3 linked regions of the Xenopus tropicalis genome follow. The protein of the gene in region 3 purifies or fractionates together with the protein of the main gene of each other region. This does not show direct contact. Links are inferred from orthologs where the notes say so. Each region holds a gene or a part of one and is shown on either strand. Other genes may lie near its edges.

Evidence for each region. The genes of interacting proteins can lie anywhere in the genome.
Region 1: the proteins of mpdz (region 3) and amot purify together in Homo sapiens (affinity purification with mass spectrometry; 4 studies listed by BioGRID and IntAct, with this or other methods). This does not show direct contact. The link is inferred for Xenopus tropicalis from reciprocal best matches to the Homo sapiens genes MPDZ and AMOT.
Region 2: the proteins of mpdz (region 3) and plekha2 purify together in Homo sapiens (affinity purification with western blotting; 3 studies listed by BioGRID and IntAct, with this or other methods). This does not show direct contact. The link is inferred for Xenopus tropicalis from reciprocal best matches to the Homo sapiens genes MPDZ and PLEKHA2.

What each region holds. Positions count from the first base shown.
Region 1 is NC_030684.2:52,198,556-52,202,799, reverse strand, and holds the start of amot (angiomotin), read left to right. Parts: upstream 1-1,444; 5' UTR 1,445-1,613; intron 1,614-4,244.
Region 2 is NC_030679.2:131,935,290-131,939,571, forward strand, and holds the start of plekha2 (pleckstrin homology domain-containing family A member 2), read right to left. Parts: upstream 2,801-4,282; 5' UTR 2,445-2,800; intron 1-2,444. UniProt on the Homo sapiens protein: Binds specifically to phosphatidylinositol 3,4-diphosphate (PtdIns3,4P2), but not to other phosphoinositides. May recruit other proteins to the plasma membrane.
Region 3 is NC_030677.2:124,856,896-124,860,925, forward strand, and holds part of mpdz (multiple PDZ domain protein), read left to right. Parts: intron 1-1,383; coding exon 1,384-1,507; intron 1,508-2,753; coding exon 2,754-2,900; 3' UTR 2,901-4,030. UniProt on the Homo sapiens protein: Member of the NMDAR signaling complex that may play a role in control of AMPAR potentiation and synaptic plasticity in excitatory synapses. Promotes clustering of HT2RC at the cell surface.

The DNA.
Region 1 (4,244 bases), on a different chromosome or scaffold from region 3:
CAGAAAGTATTTCTTTATTAACCAAGTATAACAGCCTAAAGGCTTCTGTACTTCCTGTTTTTTTGCTGCAAGTGTACTGGTTTTCAGCCAGAAACCTGTAAATGGCTTAAAATGAACCCCTTATTTATGCCTTCATCTTGTTTATGTTAACTGAGTGTGGCCTTTATAATGGGTGTGGTTTGCTTAAATTGTTTCTATGACACTCTCTAATTATATTTTTCCCCTTCCTTCTTTCACCTATTTTAAATATAAAAATCTGAGAGCCCTGTACAATGTTATATGACTGTTACCACTGTGAAACCTAACTAGTATAAAAGCAAGACCATGTAATACAGGCACGGACTGGCAATATATGGATTCCGGCAAATGCCAGAGGGGCTGCTGCAAGATGCCAAATAAACAGTCACTATTTATAGGGCTAATGGAGGGCTGTTTGGGCCTCTGTGTGTTTGAAATGCCTGGGCTTATTTTGAATCCCAGTCCTAACCCAATGATGCTGAATCATCGCGTGTGAGTCCTACCCGAAGGCATGGGTAGGTCCAACGTCACCGAAGCTAGGGTGAGACCCACCAGGTCGTTGGAGTCTCCTTCGCCTTGCAAGTTTTGGCCTGGGGTCAAGCCCAATTGACTATGACACCCATCCAGGGTGCAACAGGGCCAGAACTAGAGGTAGGCAGTACAGGCAGGTACCAAGAGGGGCAACTATTTCACACACAGCAGCACACTAGTTCAAAGGCTCATTTTCATGGGGGCCATCCAGGGGCCTATAAAAGCTGTTCTCTGTCAGTCAGCAGTATATCGCCTGTGTATGGGGCCCTCAGAGGAGCCTACCCAACCGATATCTGCCTGATGCAAGTTAAAAATCCAGCCAGGAGGATGAGCATGTTGGTGCATTGTTGCTGGCCTCATCTCAACAGCCTGTATCCTGGCATTTAGTGAGAATCTTTCGGTGTATTGCCACCTTAATTCCAGATCCTTGTCTCTCCTCCCCACCCTGTTACCTTACCTGGTCTTTGCCCATCTCTAACTCTACTACATAGGGGTAATGGTGTATTAAAAGCATTTGGGGAGATAGACCCTTGCCTTGAGTGCCAAGATACTTGCTACAGGTCTTGTAACGCAAACATGCAGGTAAATGATCCGTCAGCAAGATACCCTATGTCCTTATGCCCTATGAACTTTGCCAAGCTTCCAAGTACTAATTTATAATGCACAATAAAATAAGGCAGATAGCCCCAAACAGTGGGTAGCCAGCCAGTGTGATCTAATTCTCCTCACATTCTCCGACAGCGTATAACTCAAGAGAGCTTTGTTGTAAGAATTGTGTTGCTGAGTTACTTCCCAGCGCTGGAAGGGTTACTAAACCTTGCCCTGAATAAACCTTGGAAGCACAAAAGGCTCCTGTGTGTTCCGGAGTGGCAGCCCAAATGGCCAATGGGACACGGACAAGAGGAGGCGTGCTAGCCAATCGGCAGGAGCGGGCGGTGACAGCGCGGTGACTGAGGCTGGCAGAGTGTGTTGGGCTGCCGTGAGGGACTGGAGGGCTGTGCTGTATGTGTCGGAAGGATATCTATCGGCGGGACCGGAGAAAGGAGAAGCTAGGCGCTCTCACAGTAAGTGCGCACTTATGGAGTTAGCAGTGGATTGTAGCTGCCACGCCGCTGCCTTTTGCTCTAATTATTGGTTTACGCGCTCTTGTTGTTCCGCCGTCCCTGGCAATACACAATTGTATGTATGTATTTATGTAGAACTTTACCGATATATCGCTATTAGCCTACCATACCCAGTGCTATACAGTATACTGTATAGAAAAGTGCTCAAGGGTGCAAGCATTTTATACCTACAGGTTAAACTGCAGCTGTTCTGTACCATTTGTAATGCCCACATCCAGTTCATATTTTCATGTTCGTACCTCTGTACAGTTTACTGTGTGCCCTTAGTCATGGGCACTTACTGGCACCCCTATGCTATAATATTTATATGTCCAAGTTTACGAGAACCTAATGGCATACCATAACCTGCTGTAATGTAACCGTGCCCTGCACTGTGGGCACCAGTTCCCACCTCATACTGTAATGTTGGTGTGTGCCAGGCAAGGGTACCAGTTGGCACACTAGTAACATGCAGCATTACTGCTGTACCCTGCGCAGGAGTCTCTAATTCCTTTCTGTTATACATACATCTTGTTACATCCTGTGTCTTGGCTCAGCCTGTCTATGTGGGATCTTTCATCCTGTAACCATGCTGTATTCCAGGGTATGGGCACCTACTGGCACCTATTCCTTGCTCTAGTACTGGTGTGTCCTTGTGTAGGCACCTACTGGCACACAGTTCCATCCTGTAATACTGATGTGCCCCAGTGTGTAGGCACCATACTAGCACACAGTTCCATCCTGTAATACTGATGTGCTCCAGTGTATAGGCACCTACTGTCACACAGTTCCATCCTGTAATACTGATGTGCTCCAGTGTGTAGGCACCTACTAGCACACAGTTCCATCCTGTAATACTGATGTGCCCCAGTGTGTAGGCACCTACTAGCACACAGTTCCATCCTGTAATACTGATGTGCCCCAGTGTGTAGGCACCTACTAGCACACAGTTCCATCCTGATAATACTGATGTGCTCCAGTGTGTAGGCACCATACTGGCATACAGTTCCATCCTGTAATACTGATGTGCTCCAGTGTGTAGGCACCTACTGGCACACAGTTCCATCCTGTAATACTGATGTGCTCCAGTGTGTAGGCACCTACTAGCACACAGTTCCATCCTGTAATACTGATGTGCCCCAGTGTGTAGGCACCTACTAGCACACAGTTCCATCCTGATAATACTGATGTGCTCCAGTGTGTAGGCACCATACTGGCATACAGTTCCATCCTGTAATACTGATGTGCTCCAGTGTGTAGGCACCTACTGGCACACAGTTCCATCCTGTAATACTGATGTGCTCCAGTGTGTAGGCACCTACTAGCACACAGTTCCATCCTGTAATACTGATGTGCCCCAGTGTGTAGGCACCTACTAGCACACAGTTCCATCCTGATAATACTGATGTGCTCCAGTGTGTAGGCACCATACTGGCACACAGTTCCATCCTGTAATACTGATGTGCTCCAGTGTGTAGGCACCTACTGGCACACAGTTCCATCCTGTAATACTGATGTGCTCCAGTGTGTAGGCACCTGCTGGCCCCCATTCCATCCTGTAATACTGATGTGCCCCAGTGTGTAGGCACTTACTAGCACACAGTTCCATCCTGTAATACTGATGTGCTCCAGTGTGTAGGCACCTACTGTCACACAGTTCCATCCTGTAATACTGATGTGCCCCAGTGTGTAGGCACCTACTAGCACACAGTTCCATCCTGAAAATACTGATGTGCTCCAGTGTGTAGGCACCATACTAGCACACAGTTCCATCCTGTAATACTGATGTGCTCCAGTGTGTAGGCACCTACTGGCACACAGTTCCATCCTGTAATACTGATGTGCTCCAGTGTGTAGGCACCTACTGGCCCCCATTCCATCCTGTAATACTGATGTGCCCCAGTGTGTAGGCACCTACTAGCACACAGTTCCATCCTGTAATACTGATGTGCTCCAGTGTGTAGGCACCTACTGGCCCCCATTCCATCCTGTAATACTGATGTGTCCCAGTGTGTAGGCACCTACTGGCCCCCATTCCATCCTGTAATATTACATTCTCACAGTGTGTGGGCACCTACTGGCTCCCATTCCATCCTGTAATACTGATGTGCCCCAGTGTGTAGGCACCTACTGGCCCCCATTCCATCCTGTAATACTGATGTGCCCCAGTGTGTAGGCACCTACTGGCCCCAGTTCCCGCATGTAATACTAAATTCTCCCAGTGTGTGGGCACCTACTGGCCTCTATTCCATCCTGTAATACTGATTTGTCCAATTGTGAGAGCACCTACTGGTCCCCATTCTATCCTGTAGTGCTGATTTGTCCAAGTGTGTGGGCATCTACTGGCAATCCATTCCATCCTGTAATACTAAATTCTTAGTGTGTGAGCACCTACTGGCCCCCATTCCATCCTGTAATACTGATTTGTCCAATTGTGTGAGTACCTACTGGTCCCCATTCTATCCTGTAGTACTGATTTGTCCAAGTGTGTGGGCACCTACTGACAATCCATTCCATCCTGTAATACTAAATTCTCACAGTGTATGAGCACCTACTGGCCCCCATCCTATCCTGTAATACCAAATTCTCACA
Region 2 (4,282 bases), on a different chromosome or scaffold from region 3:
TCAGGAGCTGCAAAGGGCTGGCTAGAGGTCCTTATTACAGACCCAATGTGCCAGTGACCTCCTTCTTCCCATTCACATATTTCAAGCCCACAGCCCCTCTACTTCTCAATGTTATCCTGAAATAACCCATGGAAATTCATCCCCAAACAATTCAAAATAAATTGTCAGGTTCAACTAATGCTACAAGTCCAGAACTGTACCTGAAGAAAGGCTTTCGGGAAAGTCTAAAAAAAAAAGCAGGGGTATCCCATAAATATGTTATTGTATAGACTTGTTCAGTCTGTCCTGCTAATGTGCATATGATTGGTCATCTAGTCTAGGCAGAAACTCGGCGCTGTATTTGCTTGTACAGATAATCTGCAGGCAAGACGTGTCTCAACATCATACGGTGATCCAGTAGAGCCAGTCTCTGATATAATCAGGAGATCATTCAACACTGGATATTAATCCATATTCGCGAAAGCATGTCTGCATCATTTCCCCACACTGGAGAGAAAACCAGCAGGTAGCAAGGGACTACATGTGCAGGAAACTGCCCATTGTCTGAACCTATCAGGATATCTGCACGGGAACATTACCTTATAATAACCGCAGTCATTGTCCAGACCTGTTCTTACAATCTGAAATTCAACTCATCACTGTCTAAGCCTTTCTTTATGATTATTTAACCCTATCCTGATTATATACAGGCTATTACTTACCCCAGCATTAACTAGATTGTCCCAATGATTTAGGGCTGTGGCACACGGGGAGATTAGTCGCCCGCGACAAATCTCCCTTGTCACCGGCGACTAATCTTCCCGAACTACCATCCCACCGGCGAAAATGTAAGTCACCGGTGGGATGGCACACGCTGCGCAGTTGATTTTGGCAAATCAGCGAGGCATTTTCGGAGATTTGCCAAAATCGCCTGTGCAGCGTGTGCCATCCCACGGGCGACTTACATTTTCGCCGGTGGGATGGCAATCCGGGGAGATTAATCTCCTCGTGTGCCAGAGCCCTTAGTATGTTATAGAATGGACAGTTCTTAGCAACTTTTCAACTGGTCTTCAAGTTTTTGAATTATTTGCCCTCTTCTTTGGACTCCTTCTGGCTTTCAAATGGGGGTCCCGCAGTGAACAGCCCCCTTTAATTAAAGACTCAATGTTGTCTTATCAGCAGAGGATGGCGCTACGCCTTATTTAAAGCCACAGCATGTCTAACCCCACCCTGAAGATCTGCAGAAGATACCAGACACTTTATTTGAACCCTTTCCACACTGTCAAACCCATGTAGATAATAAGGATGCCTCACACTATATTTATAGCTTCAATATTCTCTTGGCCTGAACTGATAATTGTCAGAGAATGAGCCTCAAATATTGTCTACCCCCATCTTGATAATCAGCAGAGGATGCCTTAAACAGTATTAATAGCCCCAATATCAGCTACGCCTATTCTGCTAGTCAGCAAGGAATAACCGTACACCCGATATGAAACCGCCATCATTGTCTAAGCCTGTCCTGATAAAAAATACCCATTGTTGCCTGAGCTTGCCCTAATTATGTATATAGATCACTCAACACTAAATAAAAGTCAACCACTGTCTGAGCCTGTCCTTGTAATACTCAGGGAGTCGCTCTTTTGTTGGACAGTAACCCGGTACTATGTGTGTCTGTATGGGGCAGTTTGAAACTAGATAATAAGACAATGATAATAATTAGAACTCCAGGTGCTTCTCCCAGGAATCTGCAGCCTAGGGGGACCCATGGAGTAAAGACATTACCTATACATATTTCTTCATAGTATCCCAGGGCCAGTTAAACGTTTATTATTTAATACCCCAGAACACATGAGAAGACAATACAGTGCCAATTCCATATAGAATGCCCCCAGAACACATGGTAGCATCAATACAGTATCCATATTATGTGTAAAACCCTGGATTATATGGTAGTATAAATGCAGTGCCAAGTCCATGTAGGATGCCCCCAGAACACACAGTAGCATAAATACAGTATCCATATTATGTATAAAAACCCCAGAATGTATGGTAGCATAAATGCAGTGCCAAGTCCATGTAGGATGCCCCCAGAACACACAGTAGCATAAATACAGTATCCATATTATGTATAAAAACCCCAGAATATATGGTAGCATAAATGCAGTGCCAAGTCCATGTAGGATGCCCCCAGAACACACAGTAGTATAAATACAGTATCTATATTATGTATAAATATATATATACAGCAGTATAAACGCAGTGCCAATTCCACGGATAATATCTCCATCCTATTTGTGGAAGTAAATGCATTGGTGTTGGGTTAGGGAGGTTCAAGCTCCCCAAACCCTTATTCCATTTCGCTCATACTCTGCCCCAAGCTACAGATATTTTCCCCCACTTCTATTCCTGCAAGCTGCCGCCCCAGAGGTCTGTAGTAGCAGTTAAAAATAGCAAAGTCCTACCTTAATTTTCTTCTTGAGGTTAAATTCACCATTTTGCCTTAGTAACTTCTCTTCGGTGGACAAAAAATGTGGGGCTAAATATAGACTGTAAGTGATGTTACATTCTTTCTGCGCTGAGATAACCTCTAGTAGCTCCAGGAGTCTGACTACGGGGCATGACTTGGAGAGACTTTCTGCAGCGCCACAAGTGTTGCCCAAGTCTCCCTTCCCTCACAGCTCTTGCATAGTTCTTTCTAGCTGCACACTCACAGAGTTCTTTCTCTAGTCCAGAACCCAGACCTCACTTTTGCCCCCAGGTTCCCCTGTAAAGCCCACAACTGTGGAGCTCCTGATGCCACTGCCTTACCCCAACTTGCTGTGCCCTAACTGTGCCACTGCACTCTTTCTCTTCTCTCCTGTAAGAGAGAAAACCCTCAGCTTCTCCCCTCCGCCTGTGTTTGTTTGTCTGTTTCCTATTCTCTGAACCTTCCCCTGACAATCTCCAAGGCAGACACGCCTCAGACCCACCCCTATTCACACACACACACACACAAGATACAGACACACAAACACACACACATGTGGGCAGGATTGTACTGTGTAAAGCAGGAAGCAGAGCTGGAACTGTGGTACATTAACCTCCTAGAGAGCTGCAGCACCCGGCGCTTAGTCTCTGCCACTCTCCTGCCAATGTGGCTTATTCTCCCACGGCGACAGGTGGATCAATAAATCGGGGTGGGTCGTACTGACAGATTCACCTGTTCCAGTGAGTGACGTGCCAGAAAAAACCTGTACCGACAGTGGGGAGGGGGATAAGGGCAGGTTTCAGAGTCATTGCTCAATAAAAAGGAATTTTTCTCATGGGACTTTTTTAATTTTCAACTGCTGTATAACTCTGACTAATATTCCTATGCACAGATAGTGACCAGGCTGCTCTGTATAATGATGCTGAGTATCTCTATACACTGATAATGACCGGGCTGCTCTGTATAATGATGCTGAGTATCTCTATACACTGATAATGACCAGGCTGCTCTGTATAATGATGATGAGTATCTCTATACACTGATAATGACCAGGCTGCTCTGTATAATGGTACTGAGTATCTCTATACGCTGATAATGACCAGGCTGCTCTGTATAATGATGATGAGTATCTCTATACGCTGATAATGACCAGGCTGCTCTGTATAATGATGATGAGTATCTCTATACACTGATAATGACCAGGCTGCTCTGTATAATGATGATGAGTATCTCTATACGCTGATAATGACCAGGCTGCTCTGTATAATGATGATGAGTATCTCTATACGCTGATAATGACCAGGCTGCTCTGTATAATGATGCTGAGTATCTCTATACGCTGATAATGACCAGGCTGCTCTGTATAATGATGCTGAGTATCTCTATACACTGATAATGACCAGGCTGCTGTGTATAATGATGCTGAGTATCTCTATACACTGATAATGACCAGGCTGCTCTGTATAATGATACTGAGTATCTCTATACACTGATAATGACCAGGCTGCTCTGTATAATGATGCCGAGTATCTCTATATGCTGATAATGACCAGGCTGCTCTGTATAATGATACTGAGTATCTCTATACGCTGATAATGACCAGGCTGCTCTGTATAATGATGCTGAGTATCTCTATATGCTGATAATGACCAGGCTGCTCTGTATAATGATACTGAGTATCTCTATACGCTGATAATGACCAGGCTGCTCTGTATAATGATGCTGAGTATCTCTATACACTGATAGTGACCGGGCTGCTCTGTATAATGATGCTGAGTATCTCTATACACTGATAATGACCGGGCTGCTCTGTATAATGATGCTGAGTATCTC
Region 3 (4,030 bases):
AAAGGTTTAGATGTTAGTGACTTTAGTGGTTTGAAACACCTCAAGGTGGTTTCAGAAAGAAGCAACATTATATTTGCACACTCAAACATACAAAAAAAGTTCTCATGCAGAATTTAATGGTTCACCTACTTTTAGATACAGGTATGTAAGTAGTTCTATTTAGAACAGGAATCAGTTCTTAAATAACATTCCAACTTTCATTCATTCTTGTACCGAAATCTGTAGGTGCTCTTCTTCATCAAACCATTTTATATTAAACTTACCTCTCCACATTCCAGTTTTAACCATGTCCCTTTTTCACATTCCAGTCGCATCGGATTTGTTTTTCTTAACCCAATCAGTGCTTTTATTCACTTCCTTTTCCTGCACACATGTCACTGCTGTTTTACAACACTTCAAGCTAGTTTTGAGTCTGACCCTCATTCTATTTTTTTAGCACATAGGTTCTATATTACTTATGTTAGCAAAGCATGCATATTATGAATAAAGGCCTTTTTGTCTGTTAGATGAAATCTGTATTTCACATATTTGCAACAGATACCAGAATTATACATATTTAAATATGTTTAAATAGGAAACATGACAAATCTGCTGTTTCAGGCAGGACTAAATTCAACTAATACTTTTTAGAACAATATATTCTTTTTAGATAATTTATGGATTAAAACCAGAATGTATCTCTAATAAATGGGTATTTCCTTATAGTTTAGTTTAGACTTTGGTTCTGTGAAACAATACATTTTCTTATTTTCAATTAATTTTTAGAAGTGTATTTATCAAATGGCAAATACATTTTATCTGTGGTCAATTTTTAAAAAAAACTTTTTATTTTTTTTACAGTTTTTGTATTTTTATTTAGCCAGCCTGAGAGTTTTGGAATGTATTGCTATACAACATACTGTTTTTGATACAGCTTGACTGTACAGGTTTAGGAGTAGATTTATTAATATTCTACTATCCCTTGCTTTTTTTAAGAAAAAAACTAAAATGGTTTAGCAGTCAAGGCAAAACAACTCAGTTGCAAACAAAATTAGTATTTTTTATAATCGCTGAAATTGATTGGAAAAGTACAGAATAAAAAATGATTGACCATCAAATGTCTTGAATGCTGAACAAACACTTTAAATTGACTTCTTATGCATCTTCAGCAGATTTTAGGTGGTGCCATTTTCCATTCAAGGTTTTTTTAATGGATATAGTGGTGATTTGCCATTAATCTTACTAATCATAATGTAAAAGACTATTTGGGAAATGTGTAGAATATTATTTCCCTTAACATTTTCTAATTATGGTCCTGTATGTGCATGATATTTTACTTTTCATTAGCTTTATTATTTTTCTGTCAAAGCACTGTATCATAATATTTTCTTCTTTTTACCCTAGACCACCACAATATAAGACAATCATCCTTGAAAGAGGACCGGATGGCCTTGGTTTCAGTATTGTAGGAGGGCACGGTAGCCCTCATGGTGACCTGCCAATATATGTCAAGACAGTGTTTTCTAAGGTAAATGCAAATGTTATGAATCAACCTTTTAAATGCACCTGCTCATCATAAAGGCATTTATATGAAGTGTGAAAAAACCATTCACAGTGATGCAGCTGGCCTAATGCTTCTTGATGTCAAGTTAAAGGTTCCTCTGTGGCATGCATGTTAAAAGCTGATTTATTTCTTTTTGAAGGCAGAAGGCTCAGATATTTTCCTGGGTGGGAAACTCACAAGAAAAGATTAATAAAGGCATTTCATATTGGAAAAATTAAAACATGAAAATATAATCCATTTATACATATTAGTGGTTTTATGCTCAAATCTTTCGAAATTTTTTTGTGAAAAGTCAACAACCTTTATGTCAAATATATGTCAATTATTTTCAATACATGTGGGTAATTTAATATATAGAATGATTGAGAAAACAGCAGGGGTCATTTATAAAGTTTGTGCAGTGCAGGTTTATTTTCACAAATGGTAGTTTGCGCATGTTATTCCATTTTGCACTGCTATGCTTGTCTTTCCTTTTTTTGCGAATTGCAGTGAAATGCAAATTGTACACAACAGAGATTGCAATTTGCATGGGCACGCCCTCTGTGTGACTATTGCACTTATTTTCTCTCTTCGAATATAAATTTGCAAAATCGGTTTTAGTGAATATTTTTTCCGCCACTAAAGTTGTGGTGTAACTCAGACTCAGAGCGCATACATATTCGCAGTTAGCGAATATACCACATTTATAAAGCTTTTAGGGCATTCACACTGCCAAAATAAATTGTTCAGTATTTTAAAAATATTTTAATACGCTTTAGTTAAGTGTAGTCATAGTACTCAAATTTACAGTTCCCAGCATTCTGGGTAAAAGGCTCCATACCCTGTATATCAGGGGTCCCCAAACTTTTATACTTGTGAGCCACATTCAAGTGGAAGTGTTGGGGAGCCACACAAGCATGAAAATAAGAGCTGTGGTTGGCTATTTGGTAGCCAATGTGGGCTGTTAGGCTACATGAGACTGTGCTAGAACACCAGGTTTTTATTCAACCAAAACTCTCCTCCAGCCAGAAATTCAAAAATAAGCACCCGCTTTGAGGCCACTGGGAGCAAACATTCAAGGGGTTGGTAAGCAACATGTTGCTTCTGAGCCACTGGTTGGGAATCACTGCTGTATAATGTTGGTGCATCTTCTAGTTTGAGTTATTGATCCAACAAACCTAAAGACTGTTGATTTTGGATATGATGAGCTGATACAACTTTGATATTGCAGGGTGCAGCCTCAGAAGATGGACGCTTGAACAGAGGTGACCAAATTATTGCAGTGAATGGGCAGAGCTTAGAAGGAGTGACCCATGAAGAAGCGGTGTCCATCCTTAAGAGAACAAAAGGAACAGTTACATTGACTGTGCTTTCCTAATGCCTCTTTCTAACCATCTGGGTCCCATTTGTTAGGGATCCTTTGGTAATTCTTGATTTATATTTGTATGTAAGGAGAAAGTAGTCTGTTTTAGGTCATTTGTGCAGCAATCAGTATTTCGAGCAATCGAAAAAAGTATTTTTAGTCATTAGACTAGCTTGCTATTCCATCATAGTATTAATATGAAATTCTGCTATTTCTGTTAATCAACTACAGATTGTTTTTATTGTGAACAGTCAAGCTCCTGGCAAAATCAGCCAGGATCTTCTAAAACTACTGTGATTACTACAAAGACTGTAAAATGTGAAACAAGTTTTGGGCAAACATAACAAAAGTCCTTTTAAACTGAGTATTTAAAATGAAAAAAAAAAGGTGGTAGTTTTATAGAAAAGTTTTTAGGGACAAAACTTACATTGTCTGAAAAACACCTCCATATTCTGAATGTCTCCCAAATGTAGCATGGGAACTGAGAATGCATCTAGGCATTTTTTTGAAGTAGTATTTCAATATAAATTCTTCATAATCTTAGACGTGTTTACTTCCTTAACTGCTATAACATATGTCACATTAGTTGGTGCAGTTTCAACACTGGAGGTTTATTTCAAACCATAAGCAAAGCAGTAAAGGTAATGGTTTGTAGCAGGGAGCGGAATCATTACCTTTACTGCAATGCTAAATAAAACCATTTAAGGGTGACAAATCAGAAATGTGTTTTCGAGTATTGGCCAGCAGTGCATTCTGCATTTAGTATTAATAATAACACCAAGTTCTCTTTTCTATTAAAAATTAGTTTTGCAATAAGTCACATTATATTTTGTGGTGTGCACCCTTCATGAAAAATATAACCTCTTGCTATTGATATCTTGCTCGGACTTTAGCATCTTGCTGTTCTGCTCTTACAGTCTTAAATTAGCCACATGCTGTCGGCCCTACATAAAATAAGGGGGCCCATTTATTATACGAAACACTGTGAATTTAATATAACCCACAGAATAGAATACTAATCCTTTTAGGTTCAAAGAGCTATCACTTGCTGAGTTTAAGTGCTTAACAAATCAATTTTAACAATGTGTCATAACAATCAACATTCTACCCAAATAGAATTGAGAAATAACACCTTTAAAAACACT